Linked DNA regions of Schizosaccharomyces pombe. Changing the gene in region 1 together with any one later gene gives a genetic interaction. Each region holds a gene or a part of one and is shown on either strand. Other genes may lie near its edges.

Region 1 (4,096 bases):
TCTGCTCTTCATATTTCTCGGGATAAAAAGCTAACTACTATCTCGAAAGATGCTCGTTCAGCTGTTATGGCTTTTCTAGAAATGGACATTAAGAAGAGGTTGGGTCACTCCAGCAAGAAACTTCAAACACATCCATTTTTTTGCTCTATCTCTTTGGAGACCGTTTCCAAGGGCAACCTGACTCCTATTTTCCGTCCGAAATCTGGAAAAGTATATGTTGACCCAATTTTAGATTTGGAGGCTACTTTTTAAACTAATGATTCAATGTTTACAAAACTAATTAATATATATGATTATTCAAAGATTCTCTCAGCTACGATTTGTCTTTCGGTTCATGTGTTACATAGTATTGCTATTTTTTTACTATTTTTTTTTGCTTGCCTGATAGTCTCGTCTCTTATTTTCCCTGGAAAAATTTTGACTGCGTTTCCACTTAAACTATTTCAAACTTCATTATTTATAACTTTGAATTTCTGAACTATTCTAATCGAGCGATACGAAATTACACGAATTAATTAATATGACATTTATATCACCAAACACCTGTTATCCGTAGTTTTCTGCAAGTAATAATCCAAACAAAGGGAATTCTTTAATAAAATGTACACTAAACTCCTAACAGACATTAAACTTTTGTTTTTTATATCCACGCATATAAATGTTATATCAGCATCCATAATACACTTTTTCGATATCCAATCTACCGACTACGGGTTCAGCAACACTTTCTAGAAATGCTGTAACAATGGTAACCTTTGGGAAAATATAAGCCAGCGCTTTAATACTTTCAGAGTAACAAACATAGACCACAATTATAATGTTTTCCTCTGGGACCCCGAAATCCACTAAAATTTGCGTGGCCATTAAGACATCTGCATGTGTAGTTAAATGTGAAGCCATCAAAACAACATTCATGGTAGCAATGCCACGGGGCAATTTATGGTAATGTAAAGTTGGTTCTTGAGTAACTTTATTGATTTGCACCAAAATCTTACCCAAACACACTGTTGGAAATTGACGACATAAAGCTGTTTCAAGAGTTCCGCCGGATCGCAAAACTGAAACACCACAAAGCTCTTTTGCCATTTGTAGACCTTCCCACTGGTTTCCGTTATGCAAAGTAATCGTTTTCTTTTCATATGCAAGCGAATCACCTGCCAAATTCATCAACATGGTGCCAATTCTGCTCAAAAAAAATTGTAAATCATCAGGGTGTGTATTTTTGTTTATAAGAATAGTCCTGATGGCAGATATTTCAGGCGTAATTTTAAGCTGAACTAAATTTAAGGGTAAATGGGGAATGGTTGGTACAATTTGCTGTAAACTATCAATGTTCTTAACATGAGTTTCACTTTGTATAGAAAGTGTTCTACGAATAAAATTAATCACCATATCAATTGCCAATTTATTGTCCCGGCCACGAGGAACGATAAGATCAGTGTAAGATAGTTGACGCCTAACGAAGTTCTCATAACTTGGCTTGACAAATTTATTATATTGTTCCAAAACGCCAACTATGTCCCTTCCTCGATAGTTGATATCGCGATTCAGTCGACGAGAGAGACACACGTCCGAATCTGTATCTAGAAAGACCGAGACGTCAAGGAGAGAGCGAATCTTTTCATCGTATAAAGCAAAAATCCCTTCGAGAATAATGATACTTGCTCCGAATAACGTGTTGGTCTCAGGAAGCCGATTATGCTCATTGAAGCTATATATAGGAATGTCAACTTTACGGCCTTGTTTAAGTTCTAGCAGTTTTACGAAGAGCAAGTCCCAATCAATGGCTTCGGGGGAATCAAAGTCATAGTCGTTGTTAAATGCTCTCTTCTTCTGCTCTGCATTCAAAGATTTGTAAAACGAGTCAAGGGATAAAATAACAACATGTGGAAGATTTAACGCCTTTACAATCAATTGGGCCACCGAGGTTTTCCCACTACCCGATGGTCCTGCAATTCCAATAAATCGCACTTTACGCCATGGGGGTTCATAAGTTGGGTTGCTTGAATAACGCTCAAAAGCTTCAGGCATAATAACGAAAGAAATAAAATAAATAAGAAGCCCAAAAAAAAGGTATGCTAGCCTCCAAGGAAATATTACTAAAGAAAGTTTAAAAAAAAAAAAACTGTAGAGCAAAAAAAGACTAATTGGTGAACCTAACGTTTTTTAAAAGGTAAATTCTGTCTTGGCGTGAAACGAAAATATTCCACAATTTGTAGAGCCAAAGATATTTATTCAAACAGAATTAATTCAAGTAGAATGATAATGGTTTCCTTATCTTACTCTTCTCAAACTTGCTTAGTTTTTTCTATAAATCACAAATCTCGAGTTAGCAATACCATTAGAAAAATATATATATGTATACGAACCCAAAGGAAGGAAAAATGTTAGGAAATTTTAACATAAATAGAAAGATTTTCGAAATGTCTTTTTAAATAACTAGTAAACTAGTTGAAACAATAAATTGGAGAAGGGTAAATCCAATATCATTGTTTTTTCATCCTTTGGTAACATTATCACTGTGACTTTTTCAGTCAGCGCCTGAGCCGCGGTAATCATCGGGAATAAAGAAAGAGCAGTTTGTTTGTAGAACGGAAGTGAGAAGTTTTTTTGCAATACCTATTACTAAATTAATGAATTATATGTAGATTTAAAAGAAATCCGGCAATTAATATTCGAAATTAATCAATTTTGACTATGTGAAAATTGTAACATTCGTGACATGTTGGAAGCTTGTACCAAAATTTGATATTTAATTTAACTTTAAAAATGTATTTAATAAAAATAGGCGACAATAAGGAAATTTAACATATTGGCTCAAATTCAAAAACGCAAGAGAAATCTTGCTTTGTTTATATAAATAACTAAATCAACACGACTAATACTTAATACGCATTTCTTAGAAAAACAGATTCAAATTATTTTTTACCTTCCAAAAATGATGAAATAAAAAGAACAGCTAGGTTGAGATCGTCTCAAAGTTCAATAAATGATTTTGCCGCTCGAAGATTTAGATTGTAGCTTTGCCATTTTTTTTAAACCTAAGAGAACTGACAAAAAGGAATATGAAAGTTTCTTTTGTGCAGAAGAACCAAGTAAATGGACATAAGTTTATGGCAGGTTTTATGATATTGAGAACTCGTCGCTTTTGTTCGTAATAGGCAATTAATTTCAAATTAGAAAATAGTATAAAGGATATTCAGTTTGACCCATCAAGTAGAGTAATCCGCTATTAATGGTGTGAAAAAGTAGAAAAATTTGAAAAAAGCGTACATTTTCGAATAGAAACCCATTTACATGCTTACTTAGCACACGCAAAATCCTTAAATTTCTCTTCCCTATATCGAGAGAAGTGAAAATATAGAATAGTGAATGCATCAAACGCAAAGATTTGAAGCCGGTGCAATGTTAAACATATTTGACGGCTAATCGTCACAAAAAAATGACATTGATGACCTCGAATTGCGCAAATTTTGACTTCATATTTAAAACTCGAAACTCATGAATATTAAGCCTAGATAATTTGTTCGCATAATTTCTTCTCAATCCCACAAATTAATTATCCATGTATCGATAGCAATGGAATCAATTGATTTATTAAATTAAAGTAGATATCTTCCCCTCCTCATTTGATTAGAAAAAAATCCTTGAATTTCACATCACATTTACTCGAAAAGTTTTATCATAAACTTGCTGTAGAATTGAAACTGTAACTGCAATTTAAACCAAATAAAACGCTTTTTAAAATAAACAAAAGAGTACCACATGACTAAATTCCTCATCTTCCTTTTACCAACGTTTGTTGTAATATATTACCCATGCCTTTAGTAATGATAAATTGCACTTATTGAGCTAGAAAATAGTGAATTGAAATAAATCTAATATTTTAACAAACGATATCACGCTATAGCCGTTTTATAATATTTGCCATCTTTTGTTCGTTTCACATTGACACACCTCCATCCTCTCTTTCCTTTCACCTATCTTGGCGAACGAATTCTTAACCTGCTAATTTATTCACTTCAGGAGTAGGAATTGACAAGTGAGAAAAATTAATAATTAAATATTTTTTTTAATATCGTTCTTTTACATTATT
Region 2 (3,719 bases), on another chromosome or scaffold:
AAATCATTATTGATGAATAGTTTACCAAGTTTGTTTATGTCTTACACCTCATGATACTATGGGTTCATAAGAACGCCATGAAATTTACCGAACTCGTATCTGTTGGCCGTGCTATGAGTAGTACTAGTTGCCTCTCTTATAGTTATGAAAATGATATCCACATGACAATTATAATCATAACCCCATGATTTGCTATAGCAAGGTATAAAGTTAAACATGACTAGCAAGTCTTTCAACGAAAGCATGTGTGTATCAAAAGTAATTGATTTAGATAAAAATTCATAAGAGGAAATTCTGATTATAAGTATACCGAACACATCCTGCTTTCTTTAATTTTTTTATGAAAAAAGAATGATAGGTTCAAAAATAGATTATACCTATATAATATACAATAGTAAAACCCACTGCTAAATTAAACGAAAGAAAAGATTAAATAAAAAAGAGACAATTGGAATAATAGGTTACGACATCATCTTGCTATGCTTCAATTCGATAGCTCGTTTATAAGGAGGAGCGGTTGGAGGTTGTATAACGTCTAAGGTAGCCTTTTTCATATTTATTTCAACGGGATAAGTAGCGTCCGCATCATAACCATCAAGGTCACCACATGCAATAAATGGTGCAATCTCATGAGCATTGGTTGGATCGATTACACATAAAGGTTTTGTTAAATCGGGTTGAAAATTAGAAGGGGGGTTAAAATCTTCACAAACGACAAAGGACTCGATAGAGCTAGCACGAGAGCTTCTTGGTTTAGCACAAGAAACTTTTCGAAACATCAAACGAAGCTGAGAGTATAACAGTGAAACATCTCGTCCACGAAAAATTTTTGCAACAAATTTCCCACCAGGCTTTAAAACACAAACCGCTAAATTAAATGCAGCTAACAATATCTGTGCTTGAATATATTCATCTAGGTCGTGCAAACCAGTAACATCTGGGGCACCATCACTAACTACGAGATCAGCCGGTTCATTACCAAAGTGAGACAAAATAATTGAAAGGGTGTTGGGATGAGTAATGTCTAATTGCAGGGTGCATACCCCATCGATTGGTGCCATGGGTTGAAGATCAACAGCAACAATCATAGGTTTCTCATCTGCGGCAATGGAAGTATCAATGTTTTTGAGTAACTCACGAGACAAAACTTGAGACCAAGACCCCGGTGCAGCACATAAGTCTACAACTCTTTTTGCTCCTTCAAATAAATTGAACTGTTCGTTTAATTGGAGCAATTTGAAAGCTGAGCGGGCTCTCCACCCTTGTTCCTTCGCCAGACGATAATAGGCATCTCTCTAAAAAAGTGTAAAGTTAGTATTTTAACAAAATAAATAGTTAAATAATTATTTAGCAATAAAAAAAAAATGAAATAATAAACTAAAATGTTTCTATATGCGACTGAGAAACATTAAAGTTTACACATTAATATACGATATAACTTCGATAAAATTAACGTAAACTTTTCGCTACAAAGTTAAGTATTTACAAGGTTTCAGTAACGCACGAGACATACCTTATCTTTGCTGCTTCTCCCCATTTGTTTTTCAGTTTGGTAAAAACTGGTTGAAATTATTATATTCGTTTCTTGCATCGATTGTATTGAATAAACATATCGTTAAATATTGATTAGGAGATAATTATTTCGGTAGCGTATTGTTATGAAGTGGTTCGAATTAACATATGGATACATCACTATAAAGATTTTAGGATATAATCACATCCATAGTACTAATTATCGTTAAACTAATCTTAATCAAGTTATTGAATAAGCTAAATGCTTCTTCTCGAATACTGCTATTATACTCTATCTTGATGAAAGCAATATCAAGCTGTTTTTAAATGCTGTTATAGTTGCTGTTATATTCTTTAACTTGGTCCTGGTTTTTTTTAATAAAGAGTCGTTCATCAAAGCCTGTAACTTAGTGAGTGTCGTAAATCTATTGGCGTATACGCGAACTTGATTGATTCATTGTTTATTGCTTTACAATGCAAGTCGTAGATGAGAAAACAATACTAGAGCTTGAAAATGAAAGGTTTGATGAAAGTTCACAGTTTAAAACTCCCGAAAAACTAATCGTGGAGGCGAGCGATATGACGGCGTTTCGACAATCGAAAGCATATTATCGAATTTTTGATTTTTTACAGCGTCTCAATATTGCATCTGTGGGTGTGAACGATTATCATGTGGAATACTCAACAAGAGTTGAAAAGTTAGTACGAATATTGTGTAGAGTTAAAGAAATTACTAAAACTGTACCACCTGCATCAGGTCGGCATCGGTTTGGTAATCCTGCTTTTCGAATATGGCACGAAAAGCTACGTGACTCCGCCTCTCAAATTATGGACATCATTATTCCTGATTCATTGAGTAAGGCAAAAGTGGAGTTACTGGACTATTTTTTGGGATCGTTTGGTAATTCTCAAAGAATTGACTTTGGTACGGGTCATGAGTTAAATTTTTTGGGTTTTATTAAGGGCTTGGACTTGCTGGGACTTTTAGATGCCGCAGATTATAAAGCTATCGCCTTGTACATAACCCATGTTTACTTGGAAGTTTGTCGTGAGCTCGTTCAAACTTATCGCTTAGAGCCTGCTGGCTCACATGGAGTTTGGGGGCTTGATGATCATTTTTTTATTCCTTATATTTTTGGTTCTGCCCAACTTGCTGATAAGGCATCATCTTCCATCATAAAGCCTGATGCTATACTTAACAAAAAAATAGTGGATGAAAAAGCTAATAGCAACTTGTATTTTAGTGCTATCAAGTTTATAAACGTGATGAAAAAGGGCCCATTTTACGAACATTCCCCAATATTGTATGATATAACCGCTGTTCCTATATGGTCAAAGGTCAATCAGGTATGTTAAGAAGTGTGTATTTATTAAGCTAATTACTTTCAAGGGATTGATAAAAATGTACGATGTGGAAGTGCTGAGCAAATATCCTGTTGTTCAACACTTTCATTTTGGAAATCTCTTTCCGTTTAACCCTTTAGTTGCAAAGTAGTTTAACTTTAATCTTTCGTGCAATTTCAAAAACAAATAGTCACTGTTATTAATGTTATGTTTTATTTATTGTATCTTTTATGGTTGCTGATAAGCTATTTTATAGGGGCCAAAAGGAAGGAAAGCCCGCAAATTTACTGAAAAAATTTTTAATAAACCAAATTATCGCAAGAATAGCATTACTGTTATTGCATTATATTTTTTATAAGTAATACTGTTTCTAATACATTTAAATTTATTTACTCATTAAAAAGCTATCAAGGTTATTTACCAGTACCTTCTCTACAGACTTTAAGTCAGTAAAAACTCCTTGGTCTTTAAAACTGGTAGTGTTTTTTCCATATAATCCGCAACCCACAATGTAATTGAAATACTTAAGATCCGTACTAACATTGAGCGCAAGACCATGACTAGTAATATTTCGGCGTAAATGAATACCAATTGCTGCAATTTTATCGTTTTCTGTTACCCACACACCGGTGTTTTTTGTTGTATGAGCTTTTTCGATGCCAAAGCTTTTACATGTTGCTATAATCGCTTGCTCTAGCCTTGACACATATTCACGTGGACTTAATCCAAAGGACTTCAAATCAATAATAGGATATGCAAGTATTTGACCAGGACCATGAAATGTAGTTTGCCCACCACGCAATGCTTTAACAACTTTAGCCTTAGGGAAGCCTTTGGTAAAATTAATTGAAGATTCCCTTCTT
Region 3 (6,038 bases), on another chromosome or scaffold:
TTTCCGTTTCCCTAAGAAATCCTGATGGCCATATATCAGAATTAAGAGCTGCATTACCTGTAGTCTTGATGATACCTCCTCAATTATTTGGCGATCGTGCCGAAGTAGAGTCGTTACGCGAGAATTTTGAAAGTTTTAATCAGCCTTTACCTAGCTATCAAAACAGCATGTATGATCGTCTTTACGATGGTTTGAGCTATTCCAACCTTGATACACCTCTCCCTAGTGGCGCAACTACACCAAGGCGACGCGATTCTATGGAGCCCACCTATGCTTCTAATGAAGCTCATAGGCGACAACTCATTGCTGGTTTGACAGAGTTGGCTCTACAACAACAACCGCAAGGAAGGAGCCCCAACGAACATTCACCGTCAAATCATCCTGAAGATTTCCCGCCTTCTTTCAGTTTAGGCTCTAATCCATCCAGTGGAGCTGCCTCTGCTGTAATTACTAGAAACCCTTCAGAAACTAGTTTGGCAGATCTGAGCAGAGTCCCTTCTTATAAGGAAGCAACAAGATCAGCCGTTCCATTAGAATCACCCTTACAATCAACATTACCTAGTTATGAAGATGTTGCACGAATTGAGCACCTTTCACGTCCTCCATCACCTGGTATCGTTACTCCACCACAACGTACATCTCCTTCATTTTTTGTTTCTCCAACTGAAAGTACACGACAATCCTTGGATAGTCGTAGGTCATTCGAACACTCCACATCTTCTTCTTCGGGTATAAGCCCATCTCACAGTAGTGCTTCTTTAGCTCATCTTTCTCAAGCCTCCAATCCAAATGGATCGTCTTCTGCCCCGCATAGGCCCACATCAGCTCGTGTAGGAAGTCACCGAAACGCACTAGACGCTTTAAGACGGGCGCGTATGCTTCCATCTGGATTTTCAAGAAGAAATTGAAGTTTTGAGCACTATTTTTAAATTTTTGCGCAAACATCGGAAAAAGAGTATTCATTACCTGTACTTCCGTACATTTGAATGCTGTGTTCTTAAAAAAGCCTAAATCAATACAAACATCTCATGGTCTGCATGCACAAAGCTTGAACGTGAAGCTAAGGTGTTAAAATTTTTATTATTATTTATTTTTGTGCCCTTCCTTTTGATCTTTTTTTTTTTTTTTTTGCCGGTTGAAGGTGAATGAATACTTAGTTTGTGGCACAATGTCATGATTCTATTCAATTAGTACTGCGTCTCTTTGCTTAAAACTCTTTCCTAAAAGTGAGGAATATCAAGCTTAATATGGATATACAGTCATAATTAAATTTTTTATTATTTTTACTTTTATGGTGGACTTATTGAAATTTCGAGGAAGGAGTAGTATTTCGTTAAGAATATTTCATGTAATTCTGCGCTTATATTTTCAAATTTATCTTCAGAATATTCATCGATAAATTTATTGCCTATAAGAATTCAAAGCTTGTACATTTTATAATTTTGAAGCAGGAGGTTATGTCATTATATCCGTTCCTTTATGTAGCATTCGCTTTCATGTCGTGTTAAAAAAACCATTTGGATGCATAGTAGATTATTAGTATACTCCCTACGATTGCCAGCACCATTGTCATGATTCTTCGTCGTCCGGCACTTCGAACCACACGGAAGAAATTTTCGGTGGATTTTTTAACAGAATTTGAAAGTCCTGAAAAGCTTTCAGTCTATAATAATACAGGTTAGGTAAAAACTCAAATTTTTTTTTTTAAATTACATACAGCCCGATCAATTCGAGTATAGTCATTGGCACGGGAATAAATATCGTAGGTTACGTTTTTCAAAGAAGAAACCTGCCCAGACAGAGTTTCCAAACGCCGCTCATTTTGATCATTCATTATAGAAATAACTTTTACAAAAATGAATGTACATACGTTAGCATCTTTCTATATCACTTGGAGTACTACCAAAATTTAACGACATTTAGGACGTGGTGATAAATCCTTTAACGAATCTCCTAACTTGATTCTATTTTCGTCGAGCTCAAACATAATGTTATCTACAATTCTTAGCATCAGCCGCCTAATTATTGCTTTATCAAATGCCAATATCGATCGGACTACTTATTAGTAGGTAAATGGTTTGGAAGTTCATCGTTTCCATCCATTTTTAATGAGCAGTAGGATCCGTTCTTTAACATCTGAGTTATTTGAGGAATTGCTATTCATCGCTAAGTCAAAACATATAATATATTTGTATAGGTACTCGCTACCAAAATATTTGGATCCATTACTGTTTCCTGTTTCCAAGTAAAAGGGTTTATTTATCCGCTGCGTTTTAGACTCAGGACACACTATCTTTCTGCAATACTTTTGAACCTGAATTCATTCAATAAATTGAATTCGACATCATATAATATAAATTTTTATTTTTTACGTTTGAATTGGATTTTTTGTTTATAATTGCATTGTTTTAAGAGATTAATAATTCATTTATTGTTCTCATGAGTGTTCGGAAACGGTACAAGGTTACTTATGTTCTTGATTCCTGTAACGATCAACTAGGGCACCGTTTGGATGCTAATTGTCTAGTGCTAGGTCGGTACTTTTCAGAACAAGGGTCAGCACCAGTTACTAGAGCACTTTACAGTGGTGGCCGAGATGGACAGCTTTTCGGTTGGGACATCGGGTATGATTATGGTAAAGCTTCCCAGCCCTTAGCCAAAATCCAGGCTCATTCTGCTTGGGTAAATGATATAGCTTTAACACATGATTCCGAAGGAGGTAAGCCTTTGAAAAATTTAATTATCTCTGGAGAATAGCGGTAGCCTTATAGAAATTGACGTTCTAACATTTATTAGTGATATCTTGTTCTTCTGATTCAACGGTGAAACTCTGGAAGCCACATGTCTTGAATGCTTCTTGTTTATCAACAATTGGCGAGCATACCGACTACGTAAAGCGCGTAAGCATTCCCAAATATTCCAAGAGTCCGTTAGTCGCTTCGGGTGGGTTGGATAAAAGGATAATTGTATGGGACTACAACGTAGGTCAAGAAGTTATGCGATTTGAACAGTTACCTGACTGTTCTCTTGTTGTTGGTCCAAGATCTGGTGTTTACTCGCTGGCAGCGAATAACAACATAATTGCTAACGGCGGACTACAAAAAGACATTCAGTTATGGGATTGTGTTTCCAAGAAAAGGATTACAGATTTAGTCGGTCATACTGACAATGTTCGAGATATTCTAATTAGTGATGATGGCAGAACAATTCTCACAGCCTCTTCAGACGCTACAATAAAGCTTTGGTCTCTAAGGGCGCAAAAATGTTTATTCTCTTTCATAGCTCATTCAGACAGTGTATGGGCATTATATTCTGAGCACCCAGATTTAAAAGTATTTTATGCTGGTGATCGCTCAGGCTTGATTACTCGTACTGATATAAGAAACCAGCCTAACAACCAAAGCTGTACTGCAATATGCAAGCAGGATGCTCCTGTCTCTGACATTGTTGCTCGTCAATCTTTCATATGGAGTACTAGTCGTGATGGCTCCATTCTTCGTTGGAAGGATGAGCCCCTCTTTAATCAGGACGTGGGAGCAGCATTATCTAAGCATACCTCATCTCATCTTTCTGTATCATCGGACTGTCCCTCGAGACATTCTTCTGACATACGAAATCATAGCTGTCCAACATTATATCACGACGATGCTGAGGATATATATTATGATTTGCATCATACTGAGAGCTATTCTAACATCAATTTAACCAAAACCCCTGATTATGTTATTCATGGTGGTATTGGTTTGTTAAAATATCGAATGTTGGGTGATCGAAGGCATGTCTTAACTGAAGACGCTGTCGGCAATAAATGTTTGTGGGATATACTTGCTTGTAAGCAAGCCGGGGAATTTGATAAGTCAGAAGATTTTGAAAAGATTGTTCAAAGTTTGGATACTGTTCAAGCAATACCTAGGTGGGCTTCTGTTAATTGCCTTTTGGGGATTCTTGCTGTTACTCTTGATGAAAATCACTACATGGATGCCGAAATTTATGCTGATGAATGTCCTCTTCTGAAGGTTGATTCCCCTTCTGATAAAAGAATAAACTTAGGGGTGTGGATTTTAAAAAATTTATTTCGTGAATTTATTGATGCCGAGCTTCATCGTGATTTAAAATTTAGACAAAATTTAGATGTTGTAAGGTCTGAAGCTAAGAAGCAGATAGAAGCCCAGAGAGAAGAAGCAAGAAAGGGAAATGTGAATATGCCATCAGCTTTGTCTCCATTGAGGATTCGATCTCGTCCATCACCTTTATCTCTTCCTCCAGAACCTTTACTTTCTCCTACTATAGATTATTCCGCTACCCCATTCCCCCTCGAGCCTCCCCCCGAAAGTCCTGGTCCGTCTCTTCAAATTCCATCAAACAACCCCGTTTACACAAATTTAACAGATACAGATTCTATGATGGGTGCGCCAGATTACTTTTCGATCCCCGCCAGGCAAAATCGTAACAGAAAGCCACATACTGAGGTAGTTGGATCCCCTACTGTTGTGAGAACGAAAGAGATAATTCCCCCCAAAGTAACTCGTGAAGGTTCATTTATGGGCAGACTTAAAAAACTTGGAAGATCAAAGTCATCCAAATCATTACAAACCGATTTTATGAAAGCTTCTGTAGAGAGAGCTGCGTCAAGCCGCGTTTTCAGTACCGGGACTTCGGTAACTTCTCCGCAAGCATTGTCTAAAACTAATAATACTGTTAATAATGCTGCAAATACAGAAAATAACACACTAGCTAAAGATAAGCAACAAACTTCAGAGGCATCATCACCTGGTACCCCGCGAGAGCTGAAAACGACTGGTGAGTTGATTGAAGATCTTCATGAACAATATGTACATTTTAAGGATAAAGACACCGTTCTTAGTTTAATGAAACCACCAAACGATGATACGTTTCCCATGTTAAATCTTTCGAGTCAGATTACTGTTATCATCAGCGAAGAATCTCCTGAAGCCGGTAATTCTCGTGACATATATCGTTCTACTCTTGAGAACATGGCTGACGATATTGACTTACTTGAAAATATTATGCCCTTTTGGCTTGGAAGATTACTGTTATTAAACGAATTTCCTTCTAAAACTGCCCCTACTGTTAATTTTACTCTTCAGCCTTTTCCTGGAAGTGGTTTACCGCTTATTGTAAATGAAAACACTCGTTTAAGTGCTAGTGCTATGCTTCGTGCTCAGAAAATTATGGATTATAGCTATAGCAAGCTTAGCCAACAAAGAAAGGATGTATCATCCCTTCAATTTAGATGCAAAGATGTCGTCGTTACCCCCAAAATGACATTGGCAACTGTTAAGGCTCGAATTTGGCGATCTGGAGACGACGTTGTCTTTCATTATGATGTTGCTCCTAGATCTGTTTCAGAAATTGTTGATAAAACCCAGAGTCTTAATATTTAAAACTTAAGTTTGATTAAAATTTTAATTGATTTCATAATCCTGTCGAAAATAATGTACAATAAAATCAAGTTTTCAACCTGTATAGTACCGGCCAAATAAGGTTTTACCATGTCCCTCTAGAATTAATGTAAACACCGTCCCTACTGGTTTGTTTTCGCCCATATTTCAATATAAGAGCTTCAACTCTTGATTTCGACAAGGCAAGATCTTTAACGAAACTCCAAAGTTCTTCATATAACCATTTCGACTTAAGTTGAAACAAAGATTGAAACCGCCTACTTGGTTCTCTCGGTAACTGATCTCCTGATAAATACTGAATCGTATTTGGGGTATCGTGAAAATAATAACCCTAAAGAGTTTTAGCATTAGCTGACTAAAATGCCCTACCTTTAATAAATTCAAAGAAGGAAGTCCTTTACAAGGATACGGAAGACGATTATCCCATAACTGAATGAACTCATCGGAGCTTATACTGTTGATGCCTTCTAACAAAAATCGCCCATACCAAAAAGTCGTCAACTCTAAATCGATATTGAATTTTTTAGGTAAGACATTGTCCTTAATGGGTGAAGAGATACTTTCAAGAACACAAATTACTGAATCCCAATCAAATTCGTCATCCATAGCTGGCTT
Region 4 (3,650 bases), on another chromosome or scaffold:
CGATTTACGTATGCATCTCCGTCTGGATCTAGTACACTTGAACCAGTATCTTGCTTGCTGCTTGGCAATGGTAAAGAAAGACCTCGTTCAAAACTATCGGTATTATTTCTCCGGATAGCAGGAGTAGAAGGAGCACTTGTACCTACATTTCTATTATCGAATTGAAATCCGACGGTAGTGTTTGGTCGAGGTTTTTTTGATATCTAATCATTAATGCCAGCAAGCTGAACCCTTAACTAGTGAAAAGGGGGCAGCCCAAGCAACACTTGTTAGCAAATCATTATTTCAAACAGGCAAGATAGGGTAGTACTCGGAAAGAAAGGCTCCATTCAACAAATTGAACAGCTGCAATTTGCGTACAGGTGCAACTTTCATGTCTTACATAAAGAATAAGAGAAACTACCTCTGATCTTCTTAAAAAATTAGCATACCTCGGATGTCTCAGGTCTCCAAAAAGAAGGAATAGCAGGGCTTTCAGATAAAGCCGACATGCAATCAAATAAAAGAAAAAGATCAATTAGAGCCAAAAAAGAGAGTAAAAAGAATATCCAAAACTGGGAATTGGGAAACCGGTGTTTGGCTAACAATTAGTAGTACGCGGATCGCGACGCTAATTTCCTCAGTTGAGCTGGTATCGTGTTAAATATTTTGTAAAAGAATATTTCCCTCTTTTTAGTAATGTTCATGGAACAATTGGTGAAAAACATAATATTAAAAGGTCACAAGAAAATTTTTATAGCTAAAATATTCTTTTAAAAATAATTCGAGCAAGTTCTCAGGCAGGTGTAGGAAATAGATGGATATTTAATAGAAATTACCCTTGAGAGCAAATAGAGCTGATTCCTTTATCCATGTAAGATGGAAACATAACTTTTGACGTCCCCAAGAACATGCACTCTTAGATAGGTAAGCACATCAGTGATGGAGTAAGTGTTGATATATCCAGGTATTGCAGACGAGTAACAATAATGAAAGTTGAAATGGAGAATTGTTTACAGCATGATATCCTGTTCTTCAATTTTTATGCAATTTGAGTCCCCAACAATTGAATCGATCAAATGGGAGAACCCACTAAATTATTGAAGAGTATTTTGAAAAAATAGTTGAGGTATAAAATACCCAAGAATTCAACCATTAAACGATAAAATCAACCGAGAATGCGCTTTTGCTGATATGAATTTATATGAAACTTCTTCTTTGCTTTTCAGAATAAAGTTATACATACAAATAAACAATTATTTACGCCGAAAGCAATCAAAGATCCTTAGAGTATTACTTATTCTCTTAAAAAAAATTAGAGCATTACTACTTCTGGTTAAAGTCAGATTCACACTTTGTTCAATTATCAAACACATCCCATGGATTGCTTTTTTCGGTACCTTCCTTGTCAAAGAAACAAAAATTAAACTTAAAAAGAGAAAAAACAAGATCTTTACGAAACTGAATTAGTTTAATTTGATGCATGAACGTAAATGATAACTAGATATTTGAGGTCAACATGTCAGTCTACTGCAGCAGAAGTTTTAACAAAAACAAAAAGAATAAGATTTTGGCAACAAACAGCTTTTTTTTTTTTTAATTATCATTTTTCGGACTTATCATGTTTGTATAGGAGAAACTCACATTTCAAAGAATTCATAACACTATCATCTCCACAACCTACATAGTAACCACCAAATGCGAAATTGGTTCGAGAGCAACTCACCAATTTAAAACATCCTCTCTCTTATCTAGCAATTAAATTTTTATATACCAGTTCCTTCATTTACCAAGGAAATCTGATAAAGACCCAGACTTATTTAGTCTTGCTTATTGACCGGTTTATCACTTCTTCATTCATTTGACTTTAGGAAAAAGCATCGAGAAATCAACATGTCTTTTTTTACCCAGTTGTGTTCTATGGATAAAAAATATTGGATCTCTCTAGCTGTATTGTCAGTTACTGTTTTGATTAGCGCATTATTGAAAAAGAGAGCTACTGAAACCGAAGATATTGTCGTTGTTCATTACGATGGCGAAAAGTTGAATTTTGTGTTGCGACAACCAAGGCTGAATATGGTTTCTTACACTAGTTTTCTTCGTCGCGTGTGCAACGCATTTTCAGTAATGCCCGACAAAGCGTCTCTCAAGTTAAACGGGGTGACCCTCAAGGATGGTTCACTTTCCGACCAAAATGTGCAAAATGGAAGTGAATTAGAGCTCGAATTACCCAAACTGAGCCCGGCAATGCAACAAATTGAAGCATATATAGATGAGCTTCAACAGGATCTCGTCCCTAAAATTGAAGCCTTCTGCCAATCGTCTCCCGCTTCGGCACAAGATGTTCAAGATTTGCATACACGCCTTAGTGAAACATTGTTGGCTAGGATGATAAAATTAGATGCTGTTAATGTTGAAGACGACCCAGAAGCTCGTCTTAAAAGAAAAGAAGCTATTCGTTTATCTCAACAATATTTGAGTAAACTAGATTCCACCAAGAATCAAAACAAATGAAAAATGTGTTATAATTTAACAATTCTTAGTTGCTTGGGAGACGATGGTTCCGTCGGCTATGGTTTTTTGGATATGTAAAAACTGATTGACTAAACAACTCCTACAATATTTTTCCGTTTCTAACAACTTCTATACCAAGGTTCTGCAAACAACTTGTAGCACCCAATTTTAAGTTTTTATGCTGGCTTGAATTTTTGTTTTTCTTTTTTTGATACCGCTTGCTCCTCAACTATTAAACTGTTCTACTCTCAATTTATACATAATCTTTAAGCATTCATAATGCCATATTTTCTATTTTTGTCGTTACAACTGTTTTTTCTTACATTTGCTCAACTGCAGCCGTATCATTAATTTTTGTAAACATTCGTCATTGCTTTTTGTTTCTTCCGGAAGGTTGGATAGTCATAGTGTTACAAATTCAAAATACTTTTTCTTATGATAAATGGATTTCAAAACTGTATACCAATTCTAGCATATCAACTCCACATCCTTTACTTCCTTCGTAATCACTTAACAAAAACTCAACGTTCCAATGTTTTATACCATTAATATCGAAGAGTGAAATTTAGAACAGCTGGTTATTTTGAAATTTAAGAACCATGTCTATTTAAAACTAAGGTTAAAAGTATTTTATCATTATTATTTGACTTGACTGCATCGTCAATGTATTATGTAGACTTATTAAACGTTACTCAATATTTATGTAACATGTTTTCCCCTTTCCCATTTATAAATAGTTTAATTTCCTCAAATACTTTATACAGCCCTCCTGAAAAGTCATACATATATTAGCATTTGTCCACCAACATTCAATATATTTTTAATATTATATATCGGTATTTATCGGTGTATCAGAACACGAATAATATGCGTTGTAATTCGTAATAAATATTTACAACGTCTTGTGTGTCGTAATGTGAACAAGTGAGCATACTTCAAGTTCATTGTATGTTTCATATATGAACACAGAAATTACATGCTTTTTAAAAGCTGAAAATTTTAATCAGAGTATAATAAAATGGTAACTATTTTTGTTTTAAGACAAACATTAACCGTTAGACTGCCATTTTTAACTTTGAAAGTTTGCTTTTCGTTATACTATTAACGATCTGCACATGTACTTATTTACACCGTCAATTCCCTGCTTTATTAGAAAA

What was found.
Region 2: mutations in urk1 (region 1) and ypa1 together harm fitness more than expected from each alone (negative genetic interaction), as found in Schizosaccharomyces pombe (2 studies listed by BioGRID).
Region 3: mutations in urk1 (region 1) and bun107 together harm fitness less than expected from each alone (positive genetic interaction), as found in Schizosaccharomyces pombe (2 studies listed by BioGRID).
Region 4: mutations in urk1 (region 1) and bag102 together harm fitness less than expected from each alone (positive genetic interaction), as found in Schizosaccharomyces pombe (one study listed by BioGRID).

Annotation. Positions count from the first base shown.
Region 1 is NC_003421.2:1,554,380-1,558,475, reverse strand, and holds urk1 (uridine kinase/uracil phosphoribosyltransferase), read right to left. Parts: upstream 2,478-4,096; 5' UTR 2,370-2,477; intron 2,309-2,369; 5' UTR 2,032-2,308; coding exon 667-2,031; 3' UTR 563-666; downstream 1-562. Other genes in the region: serine/threonine protein kinase Ppk33, read left to right, coding at 1-252.
Region 2 is NC_003424.3:4,834,409-4,838,127, forward strand, and holds ypa1 (type 2A protein phosphatase regulator), read left to right. Parts: upstream 1-1,786; 5' UTR 1,787-1,986; coding exon 1,987-2,859; exon of another isoform or gene 2,860-2,902; coding exon 2,903-3,007; 3' UTR 3,008-3,182; downstream 3,183-3,719. Other genes in the region: aspartyl metalloaminopeptidase Ape4, read left to right, coding at 1-20; trm7 (tRNA 2'-O-ribose methyltransferase), read right to left, coding at 462-1,295, 1,514-1,537; lip2 (lipoate-protein ligase), read right to left, coding at 3,242-3,719. UniProt on the Schizosaccharomyces pombe protein: PPIases accelerate the folding of proteins. It catalyzes the cis-trans isomerization of proline imidic peptide bonds in oligopeptides.
Region 3 is NC_003424.3:412,967-419,004, forward strand, and holds bun107 (WD repeat-containing protein), read left to right. Parts: upstream 1-2,024; 5' UTR 2,025-2,439; coding exon 2,440-2,719; intron 2,720-2,796; coding exon 2,797-5,405; 3' UTR 5,406-5,508; downstream 5,509-6,038. Other genes in the region: rod1 (arrestin/PY protein 1), read left to right, coding at 1-908; SNARE protein Sft1, read right to left, coding at 1,505-1,663, 1,718-1,834; Ctf18 RFC-like complex subunit Dcc1, read right to left, coding at 5,509-5,754, 5,793-6,038. UniProt on the Schizosaccharomyces pombe protein: Required for the ubp9 recruitment to septa and cell tips but also for its enzymatic activity at these specific locations.
Region 4 is NC_003423.3:790,102-793,751, reverse strand, and holds bag102 (BAG family molecular chaperone regulator Bag102), read left to right. Parts: upstream 1-1,668; 5' UTR 1,669-1,872; coding exon 1,873-2,493; 3' UTR 2,494-3,088; downstream 3,089-3,650. Other genes in the region: Tea1-anchoring protein Mod5, read right to left, coding at 1-203, 432-491; protein ksh1, read left to right, coding at 3,512-3,514, 3,553-3,650. UniProt on the Schizosaccharomyces pombe protein: Inhibits the chaperone activity of HSP70/HSC70 by promoting substrate release.